7 linked regions of the Macaca mulatta genome follow. The protein of the gene in region 1 purifies or fractionates together with the protein of each later gene. This does not show direct contact. Links are inferred from orthologs where the notes say so. Each region holds a gene or a part of one and is shown in the gene's direction. Other genes may lie near its edges. The genes, in order: DHX15, SNRPA1, TFIP11, DDX5, SF3B3, SF3B2 and SF3B6.

The links.
Region 2: the proteins of DHX15 (region 1) and SNRPA1 fractionate together in Homo sapiens (co-fractionation; 3 studies listed by BioGRID and IntAct, with this or other methods). This does not show direct contact. The link is inferred for Macaca mulatta from reciprocal best matches to the Homo sapiens genes DHX15 and SNRPA1.
Region 3: the proteins of DHX15 (region 1) and TFIP11 purify together in Homo sapiens (co-immunoprecipitation; 4 studies listed by BioGRID and IntAct, with this or other methods). This does not show direct contact. The link is inferred for Macaca mulatta from reciprocal best matches to the Homo sapiens genes DHX15 and TFIP11.
Region 4: the proteins of DHX15 (region 1) and DDX5 fractionate together in Homo sapiens (co-fractionation; 3 studies listed by BioGRID). This does not show direct contact. The link is inferred for Macaca mulatta from reciprocal best matches to the Homo sapiens genes DHX15 and DDX5.
Region 5: the proteins of DHX15 (region 1) and SF3B3 purify together in Homo sapiens (co-immunoprecipitation; 4 studies listed by BioGRID and IntAct, with this or other methods). This does not show direct contact. The link is inferred for Macaca mulatta from reciprocal best matches to the Homo sapiens genes DHX15 and SF3B3.
Region 6: the proteins of DHX15 (region 1) and SF3B2 purify together in Homo sapiens (co-immunoprecipitation; 3 studies listed by BioGRID and IntAct, with this or other methods). This does not show direct contact. The link is inferred for Macaca mulatta from reciprocal best matches to the Homo sapiens genes DHX15 and SF3B2.
Region 7: the proteins of DHX15 (region 1) and SF3B6 fractionate together in Homo sapiens (co-fractionation; 3 studies listed by BioGRID and IntAct, with this or other methods). This does not show direct contact. The link is inferred for Macaca mulatta from reciprocal best matches to the Homo sapiens genes DHX15 and SF3B6.

The regions. Positions count from the first base shown.
Region 1 is NC_133410.1:23,574,618-23,578,117, reverse strand, and holds part of DHX15 (ATP-dependent RNA helicase DHX15), read left to right. Parts: intron 1-741; coding exon 742-901; intron 902-2,226; coding exon 2,227-2,445; intron 2,446-3,500.
Region 2 is NC_133412.1:91,654,048-91,658,317, reverse strand, and holds the start of SNRPA1 (U2 small nuclear ribonucleoprotein A'), read left to right. Parts: upstream 1-1,470; 5' UTR 1,471-1,535; coding exon 1,536-1,617; intron 1,618-3,984; coding exon 3,985-4,132; intron 4,133-4,270. UniProt on the Homo sapiens protein: Involved in pre-mRNA splicing as component of the spliceosome. Associated with sn-RNP U2, where it contributes to the binding of stem loop IV of U2 snRNA.
Region 3 is NC_133415.1:25,062,731-25,066,372, forward strand, and holds the end of TFIP11 (tuftelin-interacting protein 11), read left to right. Parts: intron 1-119; coding exon 120-262; intron 263-751; coding exon 752-917; intron 918-2,465; exon of another isoform or gene 2,466-2,710; coding exon 2,711-3,066; 3' UTR 3,067-3,142; downstream 3,143-3,642. Other genes in the region: SRRD (SRR1-like protein), read right to left, coding at 3,409-3,618. UniProt on the Homo sapiens protein: Involved in pre-mRNA splicing, specifically in spliceosome disassembly during late-stage splicing events. Intron turnover seems to proceed through reactions in two lariat-intron associated complexes termed Intron Large (IL) and Intron Small (IS).
Region 4 is NC_133421.1:74,403,430-74,407,614, reverse strand, and holds the start of DDX5 (probable ATP-dependent RNA helicase DDX5), read left to right. Parts: upstream 1-1,385; 5' UTR 1,386-1,615; coding exon 1,616-1,659; intron 1,660-1,681; exon of another isoform or gene 1,682-1,944; coding exon of another isoform or gene 1,945-1,988; intron 1,989-2,861; coding exon 2,862-3,027; intron 3,028-3,383; coding exon 3,384-3,480; intron 3,481-3,588; coding exon 3,589-3,722; intron 3,723-3,833; coding exon 3,834-3,899; intron 3,900-4,135; coding exon 4,136-4,185. Other genes in the region: CEP95 (centrosomal protein of 95 kDa), read right to left, coding at 594-612. UniProt on the Homo sapiens protein: Involved in the alternative regulation of pre-mRNA splicing; its RNA helicase activity is necessary for increasing tau exon 10 inclusion and occurs in a RBM4-dependent manner. Binds to the tau pre-mRNA in the stem-loop region downstream of exon 10.
Region 5 is NC_133425.1:69,293,784-69,297,283, reverse strand, and holds part of SF3B3 (splicing factor 3B subunit 3), read left to right. Parts: intron 1-1,032; coding exon 1,033-1,184; intron 1,185-1,634; coding exon 1,635-1,790; intron 1,791-2,746; coding exon 2,747-2,902; intron 2,903-3,431; coding exon 3,432-3,500. UniProt on the Homo sapiens protein: Component of the 17S U2 SnRNP complex of the spliceosome, a large ribonucleoprotein complex that removes introns from transcribed pre-mRNAs.
Region 6 is NC_133419.1:8,360,864-8,365,103, reverse strand, and holds the start of SF3B2 (splicing factor 3B subunit 2), read left to right. Parts: upstream 1-1,440; 5' UTR 1,441-1,465; coding exon 1,466-1,598; intron 1,599-1,753; coding exon 1,754-1,800; intron 1,801-2,107; coding exon 2,108-2,185; exon of another isoform or gene 2,186-2,307; intron 2,308-2,921; exon of another isoform or gene 2,922-3,050; intron 3,051-3,614; exon of another isoform or gene 3,615-3,670; intron 3,671-4,183; exon of another isoform or gene 4,184-4,195; coding exon of another isoform or gene 4,196-4,231; coding exon 4,232-4,240. UniProt on the Homo sapiens protein: Component of the 17S U2 SnRNP complex of the spliceosome, a large ribonucleoprotein complex that removes introns from transcribed pre-mRNAs.
Region 7 is NC_133418.1:100,972,796-100,975,724, forward strand, and holds the end of SF3B6 (splicing factor 3B subunit 6), read left to right. Parts: intron 1-1,858; coding exon 1,859-1,997; intron 1,998-2,160; coding exon 2,161-2,250; 3' UTR 2,251-2,429; downstream 2,430-2,929.

The DNA.
Region 1 (3,500 bases):
AACTGGAGTCCATATTAGCTGCCTTCACTTGAGCCATCCCTAACTAAGCCTGGTTTCCCTTTTTGGTTCATTGATCATTCTGACATCATTTGTTATTTGTCTTCCATTTATGTGTCAGCATTTCTTTAGTGTAGATGCTGCCCCTCAGTCCCACTTCTTTTATTAATAAATTCCTTTTGTGCATTAAGATTATTTTTTGGGGGTGGGAGGAGGATGGCAGACTCAAGCGCTGTCAGCCCTTTTGAACCAAGAGCCTGGTGTTAGCTTATTAAGTATAAGTAAGGAATTGTTAAGGCTTAACAAAAAATGTTTATTTGCATGTGGTAACATTTTAGTAGTGTGACATGAAGCAACTTAAAATGGTTTATTAGTTTGTTTTGTATGTTGAGTATTTGTATGTTTTTAAACGGTTTAAGAAATTGAAAATGATGAATTTTGCCTTGGCATTTGTGTGAAACCGTGTGATCGTTATGTTCCATAATCGGTCATAAAGTCTTCCCAGTACATTTCAGTATTATATTTTTCAAGAATTGATAATGCATATTGTGTTTGGTTGTATACTCTTAAAAAAGATTTTCTTGAAACTTAATTTTGCAATTGATCGTGAAACATTAGCACATTTGTTTGGGGCAGAAGTTTAGTTTTAATTTACCTAATGTCTTTGCATTTCATTTTTGTCACGAAGTTTGGTTTTAAAATGACCTAAAGGAACCTTTAACCAACATGTTCTTTGGAATATAGGTATATGACTGATGGGATGTTACTTCGTGAAGCTATGAATGATCCCCTCCTGGAGCGTTATGGTGTAATAATTCTTGATGAGGCTCATGAGAGGACACTGGCTACAGATATTCTAATGGGTGTTCTGAAGGAAGTTGTAAGACAGAGATCAGATTTAAAGGTGAAGTAATTTCTTCTCTCCATTTAATTATATATGTGTGTATATGGGCATAAAAATGGGGAATACATACTGATCAATAACCAACTGTAAGAAATCACCTGTAAAAGAAGGAACTAGTAAGTACCTTCTTGTTTTGTTTCTGCTTTGCTGTGTCTTCATTTTAGACTTTAAGTATATTTCTCCCCCTTTTTAGTAATGCATTTTTAAGCCAAATCTTCTCAATTTCTTACCCACCTAGTTCTTTTATAATCTAATAACATATATGTGTAACTGCGCTACTCACTCTACCCTTCATTAAGTACAGAGGCCCCCTTTACTTAAGGATCAAATCTTTGTTCCTCAGATCCATGTCCTTGTCTCATCACAAACACCCATTGTAACTTAATAGTGTTGGAGAGTGGAAATAACTATACATAGGACAGGCAGCTCCTTAGAAATGTAGTCGCTTACCCTAGTGTATTACTTCTTTTCTCCATACCGCATGTACCTTGGCCACTGTTACTATGTTGATTAAGGGCCTAAAACTATTTTTGACATTTTTGTCCCCCAAAGTCTATGAAGTTCACCTTTTTGCTGTGTTGTGTGTGTTTACTATTCATTAGAATGTAGACTCATCCCTTGTTGATATGTGTGTTATAGAAGGGTTCATAGCCTGGCAACAGAGCGAGACTTTATCTCAGAAACAAACAAACAAGGGTTCAGCACTGGCAAGAAAGATTCTGGGTCTTTAGAAAAAAAATTGAGACCCGAGCATGTTTTTGTTTATAAAAATTAGATCAATGCTTTAAAAAATATATTTAAAGAATAATGTGAGTACTGTCATTATTTATTAAACTTGCTGTGCTACCAAGGTTTTAGTGAGAACCTGAAAGTAGAAATTAAGAACTCTAGTGAAACATTTTAGGGAGGAACCTTCTTTTTATATCTGGTCCACTAATTTTTGTTTGTTTGTTTGCATTTTCTTTCTGTTTTTCCCTATTTGCAAAGTTTTGTTTTAATAATGGTAGCAGTAATTATCCTACGTATTAATGTTTTCTTTTACCAATCTGAATTACATACAATTTTATAAAATCTGATTTTTAAGGTATTTTATGAAGAAATACTGTAGTTTATGCATTTATTTTTTTTCTAGATTTTTTAAAATGTAAATAACTTTTACTATAGTTCAGCCATTATGTATTTGATTTTTCATTTACACTTTAAAAAAAGGTTTTCATGGGCTTTTTAATAGCTGATATATACATAGAATAGTGAATATTGCTATACTTTAAGACCGCATAAGAACCCTTGAAGACAGCTTCAAGTAATTTACTGTTTTCTTTCAGGTTATAGTTATGAGCGCTACTCTAGATGCAGGAAAATTCCAGATTTACTTTGATAACTGCCCTCTCTTAACTATTCCTGGGCGTACACATCCTGTTGAGATCTTTTATACTCCAGAACCAGAGAGAGATTATCTTGAAGCAGCAATTCGAACAGTTATCCAGATTCATATGTGTGAAGAGGAAGAGGGAGATCTTCTTCTTTTCTTAACTGGTCAAGAGGTATTGTTTTAATTTTCTTCATTATTTAGCTTTTGACATACTGTTTCTAATATGCAGCAACTTTAATCATAAGAACATGGCATGTTAATCATTTTATTTCAATGTTCTTCAACCTGATTATATTAATATGTAAAATATATAACCCCCTTTATCTGTATACTATAGGAATACTTTTATATACCACTAGAGTTTGTGTTATAGTTAATTATTTTAAGAGTGTTAAATGCTTTTGGAATTTTAAGATTTTGCAATTGCAGTTTAGGAGATCCGTGGGATACAATTGGTATTATGCTGAGGCATGAATTTGCATCATAGCTGCTTTGAAATCAGGTTATCCTCATACAGTTATTTAGCTTGTGAGTGAACTTGGGTGCCTATTCATCGTCAAAACACTTCAGTTTGGTTTTGTCTTCCCATATGCTCATGAAGGTTGGAAAGGATTACTAAAAGTTCTTAGTTAGAATTTACTTCATTTAAAATTGTATTCTCAGATGTAGCATTTCTAAGCTTATTTTCAATAGGGTGTTTATAGGTGTGCTTTGGAATTCTTGAATGGCTAAATAAATTCAGAAGCTATTTGGATAATACAAAGTTTTAAAAAGGCTTTTACGAAAGGGTTTTTCTTTTTCTTTTTTGGGGTGGAGAGGGAGGACAGAGTCTCTCTCTGTCACCCAGGCTGGGGTGCAGTGGCATGATTATCGGCTCACTGCAACCTCTGCCTCCCAGGTTCAAGTGATTCTCTTGCCTCAGCCTCCCAAGTAACTGGGCTCACAGGTGCCCACCATCACGCCTGGCTAGTTTTTTTATTTTTAATAGAGACAGGGTTTCACTATGTTGGCCAGGCTATTCTCGAACCCTGGACCTCAGGTGATCTGCCCTTCTCAGGCTCCCAAAGTGCTGGGATCATAGGTGCAAGCCACCACACCCAGCCCCAAAATGCTTTTCTGATGGCATATGAACAGCAATGGTGGTATTGAGACTGTTGGGATAATCATTTTGTCCTCCTGTGTCTGGTCTCTCTAGTTTCTCACTTCCTCCAAAGTGCATAGTGTATT
Region 2 (4,270 bases), on another chromosome or scaffold:
GCACCACTGCACTCTGGCCTAGGTGACAAAGCGAGACCCTGTCTTAAAAAAAAAAAAAAAAAATTCTAATCAAACAACACCATTAAGAGTGAAAAGGCAAGCCACAGCGTGTGTTCATATGCCTAATATATAAAGAAATTCCAAGAATCAATAAGAAAAAAGGCAGACAACTCCATAAGGAAAAAAATGAGCCAAGGACTCGAAAGAACACTTCACAAAGGAAGCTATCAGAATGGGCACCATACACATGAGAAAGTTCTCAGCTTCATTAGTTATTAGAGAAAAGCAAAGCAGTAGTGCAATACCACCACACACCCATCAGAATAGCTAAAGTTATAGACTTAAAATGCAAACAAGCCTGAAGCTGGAAGCCATGAAAACCCTTACACACCGCTGGAGTGTGTATATTATTTCAGCCTCTTAGTATAACTGTTGGGCATTACTTATTGATGATAGATATAATACCCTATGTCCCAGCAATTCCACTCCAGGAAAAACTCATGCAAATGTGCATCAGATCCACGTACCAGAAAATTCATAGCAGCATTACTCAGAATAGCCCTAAACAGAAAACAACTTTGATGTCCATCAACAGCAGAATAAGTAATTTATGGTATAATATATACAATGGAACTCTCTTCAGCAGCGAAAGCAAACAAACCATCTCTGTAGGCAACCTGGATGGACTCCAGACATAATATAGACTCAAAGAAACTAGGCCAAAAAAAGCATACTGCATGATTCTATTTATATCAAAAGCAAGCAAAACGAATCTGTAGTGTTGAGTTCGCGGTTGCCTTTGGGAAAGAGGAAGGCTTTCAGAATAGTGGTTTTTTGGATCTCGGTGTCGGCTAAGCAGTTGTGTTCACTCTGGTCATTAATCACGCTGTAAATTCATCATATGCACACTTTTCTGTATATCATACTTCATATGAATATTCAGAAGTCTAAAGGCCACAAGCTTAACCGCAAACCCTACCATGCCCTAGGCCAGGTTGGACTTGCGGAGCTGTGGGGTTGTCCCGGCGACCTGCCCCAGGCGGGCCACCTAGCCCGGGATCTCACACTGTAACCCGGAGCCAAGGCCCAGGCCCAGGCCCAGGACGGGTACCTGAACTCCTGGACCCTTCACTGAACCCCACGGGTCCCCGCGCCGGCTGGTGGAGGGAGAGCAGTCACAGCTTCCCGTCCCACCTCAAGGTGCGCTAATGCATGAAAAAGTTCCCCTCGGATGTTTCCACATTCGCCTTAACTTTTAAACACCAACGTCTGGAATCATAGGTTCTCCAGACTCCAAACACACCCCAGGAAAGAACCCAGAACCAGACACAGCCCCTGCGCGCCCGGCAAGACTTCCGGCAAGAACGACCCCGAAGGCGTGGCTCTTCCATTGCTTCGGCCTGGCGGGCGAGCTGCGCGCGCACTCGGGGGCTGCGATTGGTGCTGCCTGGCGGTGGGGCGCGGGGCACGCTGGGACGTCTCGCTGGCGGGAGGCCACGGGCTTTCCACGGCGCGAGGAGACGGGAGGCAGCAGGATGGTCAAGCTGACGGCGGAGCTGATCGAGCAGGCGGCGCAGTACACCAACGCGGTGCGCGACCGGGAGCTGGACCTCCGAGGTGAGTCCGAGGGCGTGGGCGGCCAGCCCCCGGGCGGCACCGCGTCGCCTTATTATCCGCGCTCTGCCGCGTGCACCGAAGGCCGGAGCTTGGCCCGCGGGCCGGTTGTCTGGGCTCCGACCGGGCTGCGCAGGGAACGCGGGGCCTGATTCTTGCCGTTGTTGCCAAATGAGCATCCCGTTAGGCTCTTGGAGCCTTCTCTTACCGCCGTGCCTCTTGACAGGCACGAGTGACTTCATTACTTCCTGGTGCATACTCGTGGGGCTCTATTAGGCCTTGCTTGGCTGTTTCGCAGTTGGCTCTGTTTGAGGGCCCGGAAGAGCGGCTCGTTAATGGTTGTAACGCTAGTGCAGGGCGAGTGATTGGTTCTTAATACTTGCCGCCAGACGATATTTTGAGCGTAGATGGGATATGTGTTCGTTGTTCCTAATGTGAGGGAGGAAACCAAGTCCCCGAACAACAGCGATTGTTTCCCCCAGTATTTTCTACTTAGTACCTTTGTCTGGCGTTTCCCCTTTATGAAGACGTTTTAAAAATTGAACTGTGTGACCCAGGTTTGCACAGCCCTGTGCTGTGTGTAAGTTGTGGAAGCGCTCGCAATTATTCAGATTCCTGTACTATTTCAACCTTAGCAAGACTTGGTAAGATATTGGGAGGGCAGCTAGCTAGTTGGCATTTCAGGAGACGACTTTAAAAAGGATGTGAAGAGCAACTTCTCTGGGGATAAGACCATGCAGCCGTAGCCTGAGATTTGTTCCCACGGGGACCTATGGCTTTGGAGCAGCATCGCTGCGGGATCTGCTTAGATTTCTTGCTGACCTTTGGGAAATCCCGTTGTGTTGTGTTGTGTGTTGTGTTCTGCTTAGATTTCTTGCTGACCTTTGGGAAATCCCGTTGTGTTGTGTTGTGTTGTGTTGTGTTGTGTTGTGTTGTGATGGAGTCTCGCTCTTTCACCCCAGCTGGCGTGCAGTGGTGTGGTCTCGCCTCACTGCAACCTCCACCTCCCCGGTTCAAGTGATTCCTGTGCCTCAAGCCTCCCGAGTTGTTGGGATTACAGGCGTGAGCCACCACGCCTGGCTGATTTTTGTATTTTTAGTAGAGACGGGGTTTCGCCATGTTAGTCAGGCTAGTCTCGAATTCCTGACCTCAGGTGATCCGCCTCCGCCGGCCTCCCAGAGTGCTGGGATTAAGACGTGAACCACTGCGCTCGGCCCCCAGTATTTTTATTTTGTTGAAATTAAGTTTGTTAGAGAAAGGTTCAGTTCAAGAGCAACTCACCACTTTTTTTTTTTTTTTTTTTTTTTTTTGAGACGGAGTTTCGCTGTTGTTGCCCAGGCTAGAGTGCAATGGCGCGATGTCAGCTCACTGCAACCTCTGCCTCCCGGGTTCAAGCGATTCTCCTGCCTCAACCTCCCGAGTAGCTGGGATTACAGGCCTGCGCCATCACGCCCGGCTAATTTTGTATTTTTAGTAAAGACAGGGTTTCTCCATGTTGGTCAGGGTGGTCTCGAACTCCCGACCTCAGGTGATCCGTCCTCCGCGGTCTCCCAAAGTGCTGGGATTACAGGCTTGAGCCATTGCGCCCGGCCCAACTCACCACTTTTGATGATCTCTGCCATTTCTCTTTATGGAGTACGTGCAATATTGAGAATACATATTTTGATGCAATACGTGTAGTATAGCTCTGAATTGTGCCCTTTAACTTTGGGTGAATTCTTTTTTAGTAGACCTTGCTTCTTCAGAATATTTCTTTTCTTATAGTGCCTAACACAGTAATTATGCTCAAATTGGACAAATTAACATTTGAGTGTTCACAGGTTTATTACTCTATGTAAACCATTGAGTTCTTCAACTCTAAATTGTAGCTGGGGGAGGGGAGGGAGAACTGTCATATCTTGAGGCTGTTCTGATGGGTTCTAAGAATCTGGCCCGTGGAGATGCAAGAGTGGAGAACTGTTATCCACAATGTTTGAACGCTGTTTGGGCACTGAGACTAAGCAGCTCAAAGTGTAAATTCCTGTTGTGCGGATTCCGCTTAACTAGCCCAAATGACTTAGAACAGTGTGAGGCACCTTGTAAATGTTCTTATAAATGTTAGCTACCTATATCACCCATTATTATTGTTCTTGTCCTTGTTGTCATTAGATTGTAAGCTTCATGGCACTGGGTACTTGAGACTCGTTCAGCATTTTCTCTCTAGTATCTTGTACAGTGGCAAGGCATGTATGACATGGCATAGGTGCTAGGTAATGCTTCCTGAATAAATCAAAGCCTGGAATCAGATACTATGAAATACTGCTAATGTTTTAAGGGGCTGTTTAGTTATATTAATACCTCTTGTGTGTTTTTTTTTCCTCCATTTTACAGGGTATAAAATTCCCGTCATTGAAAATCTAGGTGCTACATTAGACCAGTTTGATGCTATTGATTTTTCTGACAATGAGATCAGGAAACTGGATGGTTTTCCTTTGTTGAGAAGACTGAAAACATTGTTAGTGAACAACAACAGAATATGGTAAGTGCCTATAGGGGAAAGTAATTTTTTCCCCCTAGGGTAAATGTTGCAGTGTTCCCTGAAGAAGCTGTAGCACGTACTACCGGTTAAACCTACATGGTTTTTTTAATTTAATTTTTATATTTTTAAAAAATATTT
Region 3 (3,642 bases), on another chromosome or scaffold:
ACCCAGGAGGTGGAGGTTGTTGTGACCTGAGAGGAAAACGGACATTATCTTTGCTCTTTGTGCTTCTGTGGCTTTGCCAGTACTAAAGCTGTGCCTTATAGACCGGGTTTCTCTTCCAGGGATGTGTCTTGGTGAGCTAGTCATTAACCCCCACCAGCAGCACATGGATGCATTCTATTGGGTGATCGACTGGGAAGGGATGATCTCTGTCTCTAGTCTGGTGGGACTTCTTGAAAAGCACTTCTTCCCCAAGTGGCTTCAGGTACACTGTTTTGCTTGGCTTTCTGGGGGAGGGAACTGAGTGGGGATTAAGTTAATTTTCTGCCGAGGCCTGACTGTAGGTACAATTCCATAATAAAAATGAATTACATGGTAGGGTAGGAATGAGTTAGGTCATCTTAATAGTGGCCACCATTTATTGGACATTTGCTACGTATCAGAAGCTGTTCCAAGCACTTTATTTGCTTTATCTCAGCTCCTCGCAGCAACCCTATGGGGTAGGGGCTATGGTATCCCTGTCGTGTAGACATGGAAGCGGAGCTCAGAGAGTTTACATGCAAGGGCACTTTAGCTACCAGGCTGACTCCAAAATCCATATTCGTAAGTCCTAGACTGTTTAGCTACTATAAATCCCTGTAAAGTGGTGTCACTAGCCTGCAGGACCAGGATCAAAACAAAACAAATGGCCCCTTCGGAAATCTTGCCTTCATTTGTTGCCACCATGGATGCAAGTAATTTTTCTTTTTGGCAGGTGCTGTGCTCTTGGCTCAGTAACAGCCCAAATTATGAGGAGATCACCAAGTGGTACCTGGGTTGGAAGTCTATGTTCTCAGACCAAGTGCTGGCACATCCATCTGTCAAGGACAAATTTAACGAGGCACTTGATATCATGAACCGGGCGGTGTCCTCCAATGTTGGTAAGTGAGGATTCCCATTTTGGATGTCCTGGCCCTGAGTTTCAGATTTTACACATGTAAATGACACAGAATCAGAGTTTTCTGGTTCCTGTAGGCAGCCTAAACCTTAGGTCGCACTTTTGCCCATAGCAACAGACTCTCACCCTGCTGATTGGGGTACATGGTCAGCTGGCACCCACTGCCCAGGTCTACCATGACTGAGAGGGGCATCTTCCCTAAGGAGACTGACTTAAGCTGGATTCAGATGTCAGTCTAACCCCAGGCCCCGCCCTCTTAACCACTGTGCTGTGTGGCCTTTTAAGGCTCATTCAGCCCTGAACCCGCTGCCCAGGTCACACATCTTACAGTGTGGAGTTGGGTACACGGTCTTACACTTGGTGATTGCTCAGCCTTCATCAGCCCCATTTGACCTGTTAAACAGTAAGATCTACTTCATAGGCTAAAAGGGGGATTGAGTTCATGCTTGTTTGCAGCCTTCAATAGGTGGTGTCTGTGTTGTCAAAAACCGGCAGTTCACTCTTCATGTACTATATCTATTCCCAAGTTCTAGGCAAGTCATTCTGCCTAGATCATAAGTAAATGAAAGTATGTTTATGTTTCTACATTTGGGAGCCTATTTCAACCAGTCGTGTGCTCCAGTGTTGCTCATTAGCCGATTCACAGCATTGAAATGGGATCATCTAGTCTGTTTCACAGATAAGCCCAGTGAGGCTAAGAGCCTGTTCAAGGTCACATAGTTAAAGGGTGGCAGTTAGAACTAGAATTTCTATTTCCTGAGTCTTTAATTCTTGTTATTTAATAGTTAGCCTAGGCCAGGCGCCGTGGCTCATGCCTCTAATCCCAACACTATGGCAGGCCGAGGCGGGTCAATCACGAGGTCAGGAGTTTGAGACCAGCCTGAACAACATGGTGAAACCCCATCTGTACTAAAAATGCAGAAATTAGCCGGGCGTGGTGGCACATGCCTGTAACACCAGCTACTCAGGAGGCTGAGGCAGAAGAATCACTTGAACCTGGGAGGCGGAGGTTGTAGTGAGTGGTGGAGATCACAAGCACTGCATTCCAGCCTAGGCGACAAGAGAGAGACTCGGTCTCAAAAAAAAAAAAAAAAAAAAAGAAAAGAAAAGAAAAAAAGAAAAAATAGCCTATTCTGTGAAAACAGAGATTAAGTAATAAGGCAAATATACTTCTCTGCTTCCGTAATTATCAAGTTCTTTCTAAAAACTCTTCCTTAGCTACCCCTGGCCTCATGTTTCCAAAACTCTTCCCTGTATATACCCCTCAGTGAGCACTTAGCATTTATGGTCTTGTATTATCCTTAAACACCAATTTCAGCTCCTCAAATATACGTGAACTCCTTTCAGGATGTGGGGCCTGTGTGGGTAGGTTAAAAATAAAGCCAGTGTGGGCCTATATTTTCAAGGTACTAAAAGCTGCCTCTTTGGTGGTATGAAGTGGAAACTCTACAGGGCAAGGTGGAAACAGGAGAGTGGCTGAGGACTCTGCTGTTTCCAGCTCTGAAAGAAGAAATCCCTTGCAGATACTTCATTTTTAAATGTTGAATATTTAATAATCTCTTTGGTTACTAGATACTAGCCAGAAACCTTCTGAACAGTTTTTATGTGATACTGGCCAGTTGTCTAAACTTCCTCCAAAGTTGTATCTTTGAGGCAGAACTGCCCTTCAGTGAGTCACAAACACTCTGGCACACCCAGACCTGGGCCAAGTCAGCGTCAACTTCCATACACCTGGAAACACCTCTCCTCACTGCCCTGTCCTCCTGTATCTCTCAGGTGCCTACATGCAGCCAGGCGCGCGGGAGAACATTGCCTATCTCACCCACACGGAGCGGAGGAAGGACTTCCAGTACGAGGCCATGCAGGAGAGGCGGGAGGCTGAGAACATGGCCCAGAGGGGCATTGGCGTGGCCGCCAGCTCTGTGCCCATGAACTTTAAGGACCTCATTGAGACCAAGGCTGAGGAGCACAACATTGTCTTCATGCCCGTCATTGGGAAGCGACACGAAGGGAAGCAGCTCTACACCTTTGGCCGCATTGTGATCTACATCGACCGGGGAGTGGTCTTTGTCCAGGGCGAGAAGACATGGGTGCCCACCTCACTGCAGAGCCTGATCGACATGGCCAAGTGAACTGTGGCAGGCCCAGAGCCAGCCAGAGACTTGCCCCTGAGAGGGATGTGTTGTGAATAAACGGTATTTTAGATCACCTTCAAAAGCGTAACTTCTTTACTCGGGAGCTACTCCACATTGGGCCAGGTCACGAGGGAAGCATGTAAAGCGGGACAATGCCACTTAGCAGTGCAGGAATCTTTATACCAAGTCCTCATGGGGGGTATTGTCCTCAAAACAAGACAGCCAAGTTGATGTTCTTTCCTGGCAAAGGAGTTCTCTGTAGTTCCTCCATGGCAGCCTTCCCTTTAGTCTCCGGTGGCAGCTTCTACCTCAGCCAACACTGAGTACCTCACAGTGAGTTCAGTCAGTAGTGGAAGGATCTTCTGTCTTGTTCCTGATGATTTCAAGGTCCTCACAGTCCTGATAATCTGGTTCTTCCTGAAACTCCCAAATATCTGTGGAGAGCTGTTCTAGCTTTTGCATGGGGAACCAGTGGACAGAGGTGTCATTAAATATGTCCATGTATTGTGAAGTCTGAGGAAACTCAAGCTCCTCCAGTCCTTTTAAAATCTGAGCAGAAAAATTCAAGTGTGA
Region 4 (4,185 bases), on another chromosome or scaffold:
CTCCAAGCCCATTTCTCACAACTGGCCAAACCATGACAACTGGTTTGTACGCAGTCCTAGTGAAAAGGATGAAAGCGTCCTAGACAACCAAATTAATTCGCTCTTCAAAAGCGGTGCTAGACAAAGCCCATGACTCTAGAGGGCACTGAAGAGAAAAAAGCACCACTATTCTTCTGTGGCAGGGGCATGAATAAACCTTAAGAGTGCCGTTCCTTTAAAGACCACTACAAAAGGAGGTACGACCTCAGGGCCCATAGTGCAAGGGAGGAGGGCACATGGACAGCGGCTAGACGCCCCACAGAAAGACAAGTCCGAGGACGACCCTTCTGACTGCTCTTTTTGCAGCCAGGACCCGAGCGTCCTACCGGCCTCGCCCCAGTGCCTCTCTCCCACCTCATACTGCTGTTCCACGGCCTCAAAGCGAAGAGGGGGTGAAGCTGAGAGACCCTATCCAGAGAACCCGCCACCGCGACGCAGCGTCTGACAGTAACGAGCCCCGCCGACACCCCAGACCCAGTCCGGGCTAGCCCGAGGCCTCCCTGAAGGTGGACAGTTTCAGTAAACACACACCGCGACCCCAGGGAAACACTCACCAGCCTCCGAGCGGGCCATGTCTCGGAAGCAGGTCGCCGCCGGACTCCGACGCTGCCAGACCGGCGACGGTGTCCTGCAAGGACCGAACGCAGAGCAGACGCTGGGGGGCGGGCGCACGAACTAAAGCGCGGGGAAGGAGGCGTGAAAGAGGGAGGGACGTTAAAAGAACTTCTCGCCGCTGATTGGTCATCAGAGGAGCACTTCCTTTCACAGCACGTGCCACGGAAGCGGTTTGGGAAGTTTAGAGACCATTCTCCGCCGGCCAAAACCCGTCACAGGATTGTCAGACCCGTGGGTCGGACGGTCCAAGTTAGCCGGCAGCTGGGGGCGGGTCCCGGGTGCTGGCAGCGCACTTCCGGTGAGCTATTTCGTTATGTATCCCTCCGCCGACGTCAACGGGGAAGTAGTGCGGCCCCCTGTCACGGTGGGCGGTGGGGGGGTAACGTCACGTGACAACGCCAGGCCCCCGCCTTCCCTCTCATTTGGTTACAGGCGTGAGGGCTCTTTGGAGACGTAAACACCTCCGAGTGGGGAGGGTGGGCGGGCTTGGGCTGGCTGTTTTATCGTCTGGCTGGGCTTGGGAAAGGGCAGGGTGGCTTTCTTGAGGTGTGGAAAGACGAGAAGAAGGTGAGGTCAAGAGAGTGGAGAATGAGGCATTTCAATGGTGGGTGGGCCCTGACCTGAGAGAGCGGCACGGGGTGGGGTGAAAGCGCGGCGATCGCGGAACGCCGGCGGGCGTTGCGGCCTCTGCGCGAGGGGCGGGGCGATTAGGTCATAGAGCGGCTCCCAGCGTGCCTTGCGGCGTAGGAGGAGGTCCAGACTATAAAAGCGGCTGCCGGAAAGCGGCCGGCACCTCATTCATTTCCACCGGTCTCTAGGTGTGCAGCTTTGGCTGGTGTCATCGCCGTCACTCCTCCGCTGCCGCCCCCGCAAGGCTTCGCCGTCGCCGAAGCCATTTCCAGCGACTCGTCGCACCCTTTTCTATCTACTTCGTTCCCCGCCAACCGCAACCATTGACGCTATGTCGGGTTATTCGAGTGACCGAGACCGCGGCCGGGATCGAGGGTGAGTGTGGGAGCCGAGTTGTCAGGGCTGGCGGGTGGGGGATGGGAGGGCGGGTCAGGGTGGCGGCGGGCCGGGGCTTTGCGGCTTGGACTCGGCCTTTCCGGGCTATCTTGGGGCCTCCTTTCCCGAAGGCTTGCGCCATTTTGATATTCACGTAACAGTGAGTGGGAGAGATTTGACGGGATAGTGTCTTCATCCTCGCTTTTTGTGTGGGGGTCGGGGAGCCGTCGGGGCGGCTGCCATTTGGTAGCTGTTGAGGGAATTCAGAGGGAGCGCATTGTTCGGATGAAAGCGCGACGCTTCGAGGCAGACGAAGGAACAGCTGTTAGGTGCGGCCTTTCGGGAGGTGTTTTTGGGGTGGTCGGGCATTCTGTGGGAGCGAAGGGACCACCTCCAAAGCCACTGGTGCTGTGGGGGTAGGAGGGCGGCCGGCATCAGCCATGTGGCTGAGTCGCGGGTATAAAATGCCGGCCTTGGACATGGCGGCGGCGCCTTTGTTACTCCGCCCGGCGGAGGAGCTCAAAATGGCAGCGTCGAGAAAATGTGGCGCAGAGAGAAATGCGAGACAAAGGGGGAAGCGCCGCCCCAGCGGGAACGCCGCCCGGCCGGCTCCGCCCGGGCCGGGACTCCTCCCCCGGTAGTCGCCGGCTCCTCCTTTTCTTTTTTCCTGCGTTATATAATTTTAATTCGTTGATCCGGAGCTCTACCGCGGCGTCCCCCCAGCTCGGTTTGCTAGCAGAAGTGTTTCTAAACCGTTGTTTCGTTTTCGTTGTCTGTGCTGTCTAGATTGTTGACATCAAAGCTCTTTGGCTTGAAAACGGCCATATGAGTAACATCGTTGTGATGCTCTTCGGTTCATGTAGGCTTGTTATCACTGATAATGAATTGCTAGACTGGTGAGAAAGATAATAGTAACCACAAGAAGTGGTGTGTAATACTAAATTCTGGCATCTGGGTGACAAGTTTTCGATATAGTAAATCCCAGGCTGTTTACGTGGCCTAAGTTGTGTGTACTTGGGACTACGGGAAACGTTAACTGTGGCTGTTGAGAGAGAGATTATCACTAAGGACAGTGCTAGGTTTACCTCTCGAAGTCGGCTTTCAGTGATCTTTAGCTTGTGCCAAGGGATGGTAAACAAATCTGTCCAGAAACCTAGGTGTAGCCATTTGAAAATGTAAATAACTTTTTTTCTTCATTCCAGGTTTGGTGCACCTCGATTTGGAGGAAGTAGGGCGGGGCCCTTATCTGGAAAGAAGTTTGGAAACCCTGGGGAGAAACTAGTTAAAAAGAAGTGGAATCTTGATGAGCTGCCCAAGTTTGAGAAGAATTTCTATCAAGAGCACCCTGATTTGGCTAGGCGGACAGCAGTGAGTAAATTCATGTGGCTTCATCAGGCTGTAACTCAATGGAGTCTAGTAAATGAAATTCTGACAGGTGTTTTGCAAATAACTCAATTTTGGTAGAGTTACGTTTTCTGACTTCGTAATTGGGAAAGGTGTGACTCACTTTTGCAAATAGGTGGCTTTGGGAATTTTTTTTTTTTAGATTGAGTATAGCAGAATAAACGGTTTTTTTGTCATATAGGGTTTTCATACGCGGTTCCAGATTAAAATGAAGCTACTTTAAACTAGTTACTAAATTATGAAGTTACGGGCTTGCCAATTACGTATTTAGTTAGGGGTGGTTGTCATGAGCTTTAAGACTGTTATAATTTGTTTTGCAGCAAGAGGTGGAAACATACAGAAGAAGCAAGGAAATTACAGTTAGAGGTCACAACTGCCCGAAGCCAGTTCTAAATTTTTATGAAGCTAATTTCCCTGGTGAGTGCTACTTTTCAGTTCTACCCTACCCCTGTGTTTTTGTTTTCACCTACCTCCTCCTTTCCTTGGCATCACTAATTTTTGTTAAATATCTGTCACTAATTATAGCAAATGTCATGGATGTTATTGCAAGACAGAATTTCACTGAACCCACTGCTATTCAAGCTCAGGGATGGCCAGTTGCTCTAAGTGGATTGGATATGGTTGGAGTGGCACAGACTGGATCTGGGAAAACATTGTCTGTAAGTTTGAGAGAACTCTTGATGTAATATGTGCAAGAAAACGGAATGCTAATTTAAAAACAAGAGTATTTTAATGTGATTTCTGTTTGTCCCCGTCTTCACCCCAAATAGTATTTGCTTCCTGCCATTGTCCACATCAATCATCAGCCATTCCTAGAGAGAGGCGATGGGCCCATTGTAAGTATATATTTTTAACTTTTTATTAGAAGTGTAATATATAGATTTTTAGACTACATAGCAAAAGATGTAATTATTTGTGGTGGTTTTATACAGAGGTTAGCTCACCCTATTCAGCTGGAGTTGCTTTGGGTATTGGACAACACATGAAGAAAGGATCTGCCATCATAACTAATAAGTTAATAGTTTAAAACTAGTATCCAGGTTTGTGCTGAAAGCTGTTTCTCTTTCCTTAGTGTTTGGTGCTGGCACCAACTCGGGAACTGGCCCAACAGGTGCAGCAAGT
Region 5 (3,500 bases), on another chromosome or scaffold:
CCTTTTTTACCTGATTTCTGGGTAAGGGGGTGTTGATACAAAAATTCAAATGTAAAGGAGGAAAATCTCAACTCTTTTAAAAAATTAGCATGCCTTTAGTCAACATTTATCAAGCTTTATGCCAAACATGGTACTGGATGGGGACACTGGCAGAAGCTGTTGTATGTTGTAGGGTGAGATACATGGAAAATAGATGGCCTTTATGGGATCTGCAGAAGAAACTGAGGGTTTCTGGTATACCTCAAGTCGTCTGACTTCCTTGAGAAACTCGTTAGTGTTTATTCAACCACATTTAATTAGAAGAAGCAAATTCTAATAGGATTGCTCACGACCACACAATTGTTCTGTTTCTAAATAGTGAAAAACCAGACAGGTCAAGGAATAACAATATAAACAATCCCCACCCCCCATTTCCTGGTTATCTAGTTTTCTTACATCATTCTCACTGGGACTAGGATTCTCAGCTTCCAACCCTAGAATGAGTTAGTGTCACAGAGGCTTAAGTAATCTCTGTTTTATTAATTAGAGCTTATGTTCATTTCTACATAAGCTTCTTTTGGAAGAAGTTAGGGGTCTTTCCTAGTTAGAAGGAGTATCTCTTCTTAGGAAGGGGTTGTATGATTGACAACTGGCACAAATAAATGAAGCTCTAGCTATCTCTTCTTAGGAAGGGGTTGTATGATTGACAACTGGCACAAATAAATGAAGCTCTAGCTCAGTATGTTCATGTATCAACATTGTAGTATTTAAAATGTCCTCATGCCTCCGATTCCCTTGCTTTGTCCCTCTCACTTCTTTAGCAGATGTCTCAAGAAAACATTGAGGAAGCAGGGTATATCTGTAGGCTCTTATGACCCCTAGTTTTCTTCTGGATCATCTTGCTCTGTGTGCATGTGTATGTGTGTATGTGTGTAATAACTACGCATAGAAGAAGTGCCTTGGAAGGTTTCTGAAGAGAACTCTTAGTGTTTTATTTGGCTTTGTAATTCTGATGAGTTCTTATCTAACCAGCTCCCTTCTTTTCTTTTTCAGATGAGTTTGATGCCTACATCATTGTGTCTTTCGTGAATGCCACCCTGGTGTTGTCCATTGGAGAGACTGTAGAAGAAGTGACTGACTCTGGGTTCCTGGGGACCACCCCGACCTTGTCCTGCTCCTTATTAGGAGATGATGCCTTGGTGCAGGTGAGGGTTCTCAGAGCTTACCTACTTGGCCTGCTTTGTTCTTTCTTGGCCTTCATTGTGATGTGGCTGCTGTGTTCATGTCTCTTCACTCTCACCTTCCAGTAAGCCTTAGGGATGGAGCTTATGATTTTGGCACATAACATCCCCCTCTGTATTTGCCATTTTTCTGTTACAAAGCCACATCACTGCAGCTTTCATCTCTAGTAAAGATCTTTGTAAGTGTTTTGTTAATAAGCTTTGAACTTCTTTGAAGTGGACACCGCAAAACATTAACTATTTAAAAGTTGACCTTGCCTGGGGCCTGCTAACTCTTTTGTCATTGATTCAACTGGTTACTCAAATGCAGTGGCCCTACATCTGATTGTAGTGACAGATCTGATAGATGTGAGGGTCATTCTGAGTGATGAATCAAATTGTTAGAGTCAGGTTTCTTTCTGTTACTGACTCTAGGTCTATCCAGATGGCATTCGGCACATACGAGCAGACAAGAGAGTCAATGAGTGGAAGACCCCTGGAAAGAAAACAATTGTGAAGTGTGCAGTGAACCAGCGACAAGTGGTGATTGCCCTGACGGGAGGAGAGTTGGTCTATTTCGAGATGGATCCCGTATGTTATTTTATCATTCACTGTGGGACTTAGTGCAGGGTCCAGAGGGAAGGATGGGCATTGTAATCTAGTCATTTAGATGACAGTATGGTGAAACCCTGTCTCTACTAACAATACAAAAATTAATGGGCCTGGTGACACACACCTGTAGTCCTAGCTACTTAGGAGGCTAAGGCAGGAGAATTGCTTGAACCTGGGAGGCGGAGGTTGCAGTGAGCTGAGATCATGCCACTGCACTCCAGCCTGGCAACAGAGCGAGACTCCATCTCAAAAAAAAGAGAAAAAAAAGGGAGTTGGAGTGACAGTGTTCACAAACCAATTTGGCCCTTTACAGAGATGGGGAGAAAGGGTAAGTTGATGTCTAATTCTGGGTAGAGTTATGAATTCCCCTGTTAGCAACGAAACACTTGCTCCTCCTGCATTTCACTCCCTACTTTTCCAACAAATATTTGGCATAGAATTGATTTCTGCAGTCTGATTCCATTTCAGAAAACTTCTATATGGAAGAATGTTCAGTACACATAATTACCTTGCTCTCAGGAGGGCTCTAGTGTGGCCAGATTTGTAGCCTGACTGTACCTTTGGTTGAGATGTCTTTGTCTTCAACCATATTTGAATTCCCTTCACCCAAAGTATTCTTGTAAACACATAAACAGTTTTATATATCTCCATTTCCTGAGAGCAAAGTTGGCTAAGAAAATTTGTGGCACATTGACCTTGTTCATTCTCTTATTGATGGAAGATACTCATTTTGCTTGCTGTGAGCCTATTAAATTCAGTCTTGAGAACTCAGGTAGAGAAATTCTTGTCATTGATTATAGTAAGAGGAGTGAGAGTATGCAGAAGAAAATACAACAGCCGTCCTTCATTCTCTGGATCCAGGGTTTTGGGGTGAATTGGAGCATATAGACCCACCCCTTTGTAGTTTTGACCTCGCTCTGTCTTTCCTCTTATAGTCAGGACAGCTGAATGAGTACACAGAACGGAAGGAGATGTCAGCAGATGTGGTGTGCATGAGTCTGGCCAATGTACCCCCTGGAGAGCAGCGGTCTCGCTTCCTGGCTGTGGGGCTTGTGGACAACACTGTCAGAATAATCTCCCTGGACCCCTCAGTGAGTGACACTCTGAGCTTCAAGGATCATCTGGTTGGAACCTGAGCATCTGGCCCACTCCTGATGTCCATCTCTGAGATCAACTGGGTTAGACCCCAGAATCCATACCTGCTACTTCTCTTGTCATTGCAGTGTGTTCCAGGAGTTTCCTGCTGTGGTTTAAGGATATGATCTGAGACTACAGAAATGTTTCTTTGGCTTAAACCTCAACTCCCTTTTTTTAGTTAAAAACCGAGACTGCATAAATTTGACTTGCTGCAGGACCCTAGATGACTTTTCGGGAGGTGTGCTTTGCTTAATTACCTTTACCATTATCTTCTTTGACACAAGGAGGAAAGCATGATCTTCCTGAAGCTTATTCTGAGATTGGGTATAACTAATAACCCAATACTCTCTTAGAACTCACTCCCGGGGCTTTTTCTGTGCATAAGGAAGTACTTTTTCAATCCTAGAATTAGATTTCTCTGGGTATGTTTTTGTCCTAAAATTGTCATTTTCTGTGTTTTTATGATTTTTCTCTCCCTCTCAGGACTGTTTGCAACCTCTAAGCATGCAGGCTCTCCCAGCCCAGCCTGAGTCCTTGTGTATTGTGGAAATG
Region 6 (4,240 bases), on another chromosome or scaffold:
GGGAGTGGCAGCAGGAGCCTGCCATAGTGATATTGATGCAAAGGGGAAAGGTCAAGGTTTGGGTAGGAGGAAGAGGACTTCCCACCCAGTGCTAGGATGTGAGCCAACCTTTCTCAACCCAATCCTTTTCCCTGTCTCTCCCAAACCTCACCTTCCCCAGACCTGGTGCCCCATTCTTTTTTCCCCTGTTCCCAGCTTCTTCTCCACGGGGGGCAGTTGGCAAAATGGAGCTGGAGAAAAGATCTGAAGGGGATGTTTGGGGGAAAATGAGACCATTTCACTGAAGTCTCCCCATTCCCGTACTCAATACACATAAAAACACACACAGTGAGCCTGGCTGTTAGTGACAGGGCAGAGCTAGTGGCAGAGGTGGGGAGAGAAATTGAATTGATGGTGTGGGACAGCGAGAGGTGGATGCTAGGCAGGCAAGAATCCCTGCCAGTATCTGCCTCTGTCCCCAAAGACCACGGGGAGTTGGGGTGGGGAGTGGGCGGCAAGGTGGGCCCCCAGTGCAGGTGCGGCTGAGGGAAAAGGGGCCTGAGTTTATTTTTGAGACTAAAAGACACAAATACTGTCACCAGAAACATTGTTCCTTTTTCCCAGTAATCATTTATTGGGCGCCTCTTGAACGGCAGGTGATGCGAGACTGAAAAAGATCAAGTCCCTGCTCACATTTTTGGGATGCAGGTAGGAAGAAAGGGCAAGAAAGACTTATCAAACGGTGGAGATTCGAATGTATTATGGGAACTCTAAGAAAGGAAAGGAAAGCGGGAGAAAGCTTAGTGAAGACGACATTTGAGCCGGCTTGGAAGGTGGAAAAGGGGGCTTTAGTGTCGCCCTTCCCCCAGGTCGGCAGCTGGAGCTCAGCCCGGGCGGGCCCGCTCCTCTCCTGGCTCGGATCCCCTTTCAGCCCATTCATCCGGGCCTGGGCCGGGGGTGGGCGGGCAGACAATCAGACACTGTTTTATCCCGGGCATTGGCTCCAGCCTCCCGCTTGGCGCCCGCAACGCGGAGCCGCCGGGGAAATGAGTCTCTCGGGACTCCCTGGGAGCGTAAGAGTCCGAGGCTCTGACCGGGGAGCCGGGCCGGAAGGCTTGACAGCCTGCGCTCCCGCAGGTGAGGCGCAGAAAACACTCCCTCCGGGCAGGGCCAGCCTTCCCCGCAGCCCCGCCCTCCGGCCCGCCGCCGGCCTTCTGGGCCGTAGCCTGGCGCAGGGCCCGCAGAGACCGAGACCTGCGCACTACAACTCCCAGGAGGCCTAGCGACCAGACGGCCGAGGGGCCACTGGAGAAAGGGGCGTCTGCGGCGAATCCCGTCGCCTAGCGTACCGCAGCGGGTGGGCCTCCGTGCGCGTCGCCTCCCAACCAGAGAGGACGTGGCGTACGGCGCCGCCGGAAGTTCCGGAAAGTGGGCCCAGAGGCCGGCCCGAGCTTCCGGGTTGGTCGCGCGCCTTGCTGCGGCCAAGATGGCGTCCGAGCATCCCGAGCCTCCCAAAGCGGAATTGCAGCTGCCGCCGCCGCCACCTCCAGGCCACTATGGCGCCTGGGCTGCCCAGGAGCTTCAGGCCAAGTTGGCAGAGATCGGAGCTCCGATCCAGGGTGAGGAACACAGAAAGTCGAGGGACCTTTACGGGCCTGCGGAGAAGCGGAGCCTGGTTACCCGGGAGACCCGGGCGCGAGGGGCGGAGGCGGGCAGCTGGGGTCTGACCTGGCCGGGCTTGCCTGCTCCATTGATCGTGTACTTTGCCCCGCAGGTAATCGCGAGGAGCTGGTGGAGCGGCTGCAGACCTACACCCGCCAGGTAGGTGTTGGCGGCGGGACGTCAGGATAGGCCGAGCTTCTCCAGGAGACCTTATATACCCCATCACGGCTCGGTCTTCATTCTTTCTTTATCTTGGCACAGCAAGGCGGAGGCTTGCCCTTTTTGGCTTGTTCTTGCCTTTGCCAGCTTAGTTGTAATTTCTTGTATCCATCTTGGTCCTCTTCAGTGCCCAGCCGGAGCGCTGGCAGACAGGCACTGGATACGTTTTGTTAAATGAATTGGGAGAGATCGTCGATTAGTGAAACAGCTAGTTTTGGACTGACCTAGAGTCCTTTCTCTTTTGCAGACTGGCATCGTGCTGAATCGGCCGGTTTTGAGAGGGGAAGATGGGGACAAAGCCGCTCCACCTCCCATGTCAGCGCAGGTAGGGAGGTTCTTCCATTTTTTAAGATTCTATCTGCTGATCCTTTTGTAGTTCATGAGCATGATGATTCGGTGTTCGCGTGCATGTGTGAGACGTCACACCCTTGCACATCTCGCCTGACCTGAGTGGGGAATAGAAAGATTCCATCTGTTCAGGGTAGCCCTTCCTCTCAATTGCAGTGTACTTGAGATGCAACTGACTGACTGGGCAAGGAGGTACTGCCATGACAGAATTGTGAGCTCTTCAGTTCTCTCTTTGATGCTGATACTTGCCTCCTTTTCCACTGTCTGCTTCTCCAAATTCTACCTGTCATTCAAGATTCAGCTTGTGGCCAGGTGCAGTGGCACATGCCCGTAATCCCACCACTTTGGGATGCTTAGATGGGAGGATCACTTGAAGCCAGGGTTCGAGACCAGCCTGGGCAACACAGTGAGACTCTTGTTACTACAAAAAATTTTTAAAAATTAGCTGGGCACGGCAGCACATGCCTATAAAGTCCAAGCTACTGTCTAAGCTGAGGCTCAAGGATTGCTTGAGCCCTGAGGTTCAAGGCTGCAATGAGCTCTGGTTGCGCCACTGTACTCCATGTACTCCATCCTGGGTGACAGAATGAGACTTTACTTCTCTGAAAAAAAAAAAAAAAAAAGGTTGGGGGGTGATGGGGCAGGGGCTGGGAGATTGTCAGGAAAAATAGCAAATGCACGCCAGAATTAATACCTAGGCAGTGGGTTGATAGGTGCAGCAAACCACCATGGCACACATTTACCAATGTAACAAACCTGCACATCCTGCACGTGTGCCCCAGAACTTACAATAAAATAAAATAAAATAAAAAAATAGGGGGAAAAAAAAGAGGCAGGGGATGGTGGCTCATGTCTGTAATCTCAGCACTTTGGGAGGCCAAGGCGGGTGGATCGCCTGTGATCAGGAGTTTGAAACCAGCCTGGCCAACATGGTGAAACTGTCTCTACTAAAAATACAAAAATTAGCTGGGCGTGGTGGCACATGTCTGTAATCCCAGCTACTTGGGAGGCTGAGGCAGGAGAATCTCTTGAACCCAGGAGGCGGAGGTTGCAGTGAGCCAGTGAGCCGAGATCAGGCCACTGCACTCCAGCCTGGGCGATAGAGCAAGACTGTCTCAAAAAAAAAAAAAAAAAAGAGAGAGGCAGGGCGTGGTGGCTCACGCCTGTAATCCCAGCACTTTGGGAGGCCGAGGCGGGCAATCACTTGAGGTCATGAGTTTGAGACCAGTCTGGCCAACATAGTGAAACCTCGTCTTTCCTAAAAATACAAAAATTAGCCGGGCATCGTGGCAGGCGCCTGTAATCCCAGCTACTTGGGAGGCTGAAGCACGAGAATTGCTTGAACCTGGAAAGCAAAGGTTGCAGTGAGCTGAGATTGCACCATTGCGTTCCAGCCTGGGTGACAGACTCTATCTCAAAAAAAAACAAAAAACAAAAAACAAAACAGCTTGAATACAAGGAAGCCCGACTTGTCCCTACCCAGCTGGAAGCAATCACCCTCTTCTTTGCCTGCCCCAGGAACAGTTCCCATGTTCTTTTGTGAGACATTGAGAGCTCCCTGATTTGATTTCATACTCCTTGCATTTAGCAGTCATTGGGGTTTGCATTGCCCTGGTACAGTGGTTCCTGTTTATTTAAGTCCTCTCAATTTCCATGTTGCTTCTGATCCAGGATTTGCTTCTTTTTCTCTAAAGCAGTGGCTCTGACCTAGGATCTATTGATTTCTGTGTGTAGAATGAGGAGTCCCTAGATGGCCTCAGAGGTGTCTTTGAGTCTCCTGGAATTGTATGCAGAGTCTGTATTCAGGATATCTTTCTGGAGAGAGTGGATAGCTTATTGTGGTTGGTGCCGGAAGTTAACATTCTCATATCTTTATAGGGCTATGGAGCATTCTCTCTTACGAATTAGGAACTATGTGTCATTTGACTTAGAATCCCAGCTCCTGACTCAAAGTAGATCCCCCAGATATGTGCAGATGAGTAGATAAATGTTTCCTAATTTTATGATCATATTTTCTCCACAGCTCCCTGGA
Region 7 (2,929 bases), on another chromosome or scaffold:
CCTGGCCAACATGGCAAAACCCCATCTCTACTAAAAATACAAAAATTAGTCGGGCATGGTGGCGCACGCCTGCACGAGAATTGCTTGACTCTGTCTCAAAAAAATAAGAAAATAATGTTAGCTCAGTGTCCAATACGTGGTAGGTACAAATACATGCCTTTAAAAGTTCAAATTATAGTATGGCTCTCAAGGTGTGAGGTTGATAATTAGGGCTGGGAAACTTAAGATGGAGAGTCTTTAAAGTGGGGTTAGTGTCTATCCCTGTTCTAGTTCCTAAGAAGATATGAGAGGAAGAAAGAGAGTTGCTTTGTTTTGTTTTGAGCTTCCTGGACAAAGTGTGTGTGAGAGAATTGATAGGAGAAAGTAGATCTCTACTTTTCAAAGGCATATTAGCATCTGCCTTATGCATGGCACTAAAGGAGTGAATGAAGTACACATAAGATCACCTTTGCTCTTAAGGAACTGAAAATCTTGTTAAGTTTTTAAAAGTCAAAAGTCTGAAAGTTGTTAAGACTTCCCAGAGCCTAAAGAACATTCTAAAACCCCTTGTCAGGCCCACACAACCTGACAAAGTGAGCACATTCATCGACAGTGGCACCCTCCAATCACCCGCAGTACCCTATACCTTTTCAATTTTACAGGAAGCACAAGCTTGAGCAGGGCCCAGACTATAGTCCTGTCCTAGATCAAGTCTAGGCAGCTACCTCCTCTTCCCATGGCTCCACTGCTTTTACTCAACCCAATGTAGGGACTGTGGCAGATGGAGAGTCAGCCCACAGTCTTAAAGCTCATTCCACAGTAGTTGCACTGGGTAGTTGGAACACAGATGGAGGCAAGGGGGCCATCTTGTCACCTAGAGCCTGAACTGAGTGAGACCTCTACCCATTGTCTCCACTAACAGTCACATGGCCATCTGCTGCCTGCAGTTTAGTGTTCCATTGCTCCTCAAACCTCTCTACCTCTCCCAGAGGAAGTTGGTGAGGTGAAGGAAGGAAGTAGCCAGGAATACCTACACTAACAGCAACCCCGTATCCATGAGTAAAGTCAGCTTCCACTTCCAGCCACCGTCCAGCATTCTGCCCTGGCTCACAGATAACCCTGTCCACAAGCACACTTCCACTCCCATCTTCGCAGAAGCCTAGCCCTTCTCCTTAGCCACACAGCTGTATCATGCATTAGCATTTGAGTTGTATTAAAAATGAATGTAGACCGTTTGTGTTGGCCCATGCCTGTAATTCCAACACCTTGGGAGGGTGAGGCAGGCGGATCATGTGAGGTCAGGAGTTTGAGACCAGCCTGGGGAACATGACAAAACCCTGTCTCTACTAAAAATACAAAAATTAGCTGGGCTTGGTGGCACATGCCTGCAGTCCCAGCTACTTGGGAGGCTGAGGCACAAGAATCACTTGAGAGGCAGAGGTTGCAATGAGCTGAGATCATGCCACTTGCACTCTAGCCTAGGCAACAGAGTGAGATTCTATCTAAAAAAAAACAAAAACAAAACAAAACAAAGACATCGTAGAGCCAGTCAGGGTGGCAAGAGCACTTGTAGTCCCCACAACTCGCGAGGCTGTTCTGTGTAGTAGCTGTGTTCTTAGTATTCCTGATGTGACAGTCAGCTTGACCCATAGATATTTTACTTAAGATAAAAGCAAAAAGCTAAATTACCTAATTCAAGAAATTACAGGTTTATCCAGTATATCTATCCATGTTTATTTCCTCTAATGGTTTCAGGTTGATTTCAAAATACTTAACTAAAAACATATTTCAATTTACTGTTTTTAAAAGACAGTTCTGTAAGTCAACTATCAATGCTCGGTAAATGTATATCTTAATTAAATTTGATTTAACTCTCCAGGGGGAACACACCTGAAACTAGAGGAACAGCTTATGTGGTCTATGAGGACATCTTTGATGCCAAGAATGCATGTGATCACCTATCGGGATTCAATGTTTGTAACAGATACCTTGTGGTTTTGTACTATAATGCCAACAGGGTAAGTAAGTTCTCATTGTGTAGTGATCTCATTTGAGAATTAGTGTAGAACTGTACTGTGATGATATATGTCTACTGTGACTTTGTTTTTTGGCTAATGCTATTGATGAAATTCATTTGGCTATAGATTGGTAATTTAATTTTGGTGCTTACCACATTTCCAGGCATTTCAGAAGATGGACACAAAGAAAAAGGAGGAACAGTTGAAGCTTCTCAAGGAGAAATATGGCATCAACACAGATCCACCAAAATAAATGTTTTCTACATTTTCATTTTGGACTAAATCCCATGAATGACAATTTTCCACTTTTTTTTCCTTTTTAATTAATACTAAATATTGTGATTTCTAATTTGAGGTTCAACATGACCTACTTGAAACTTTGATACATATTAGAATACATTGTGTTAATAAACTTACAGCTTTTTGTGAAACACCTCAATCTTTTCTCTTGAACTTTCCCTTCCTGTTTGATACCAGGAAAAAACAGTCGAAGCTTATCAACAATTGTAGGTGCTCCTAGGGATTCTGTGCTTCTTGAGAACAGGACCTCTTAATGTAAATTCTTAATGCCTCCAGGGCCCAGTGCAATGCTTAGCCATCAAAGGAACTTGCTGTTTATTGAATGTCTATTAATAATTAAACCTTCATAACAACTCAGTAAAGATAGGTATTTGCATTTTGCAGGTGAGGAAACCAAAGCTCATGATGTTGGTTGAATGAATAAAATGCTAACATACAAAGCTGGTGTGATAACAACCAGTTATTAACCAAGCCTTTACATGTGAATAATGCTTGCTTTATAGTTAACAAAACACCTTTGTCAATATGGGTACCCTTGTCTTTAGAACAGAGGTCTGTTATAGAAATGGTCACTTAGATGATAGTACATTGTTAGAAACTTAGATTTGCCTCTTTAAATTTTTTAAAAAATT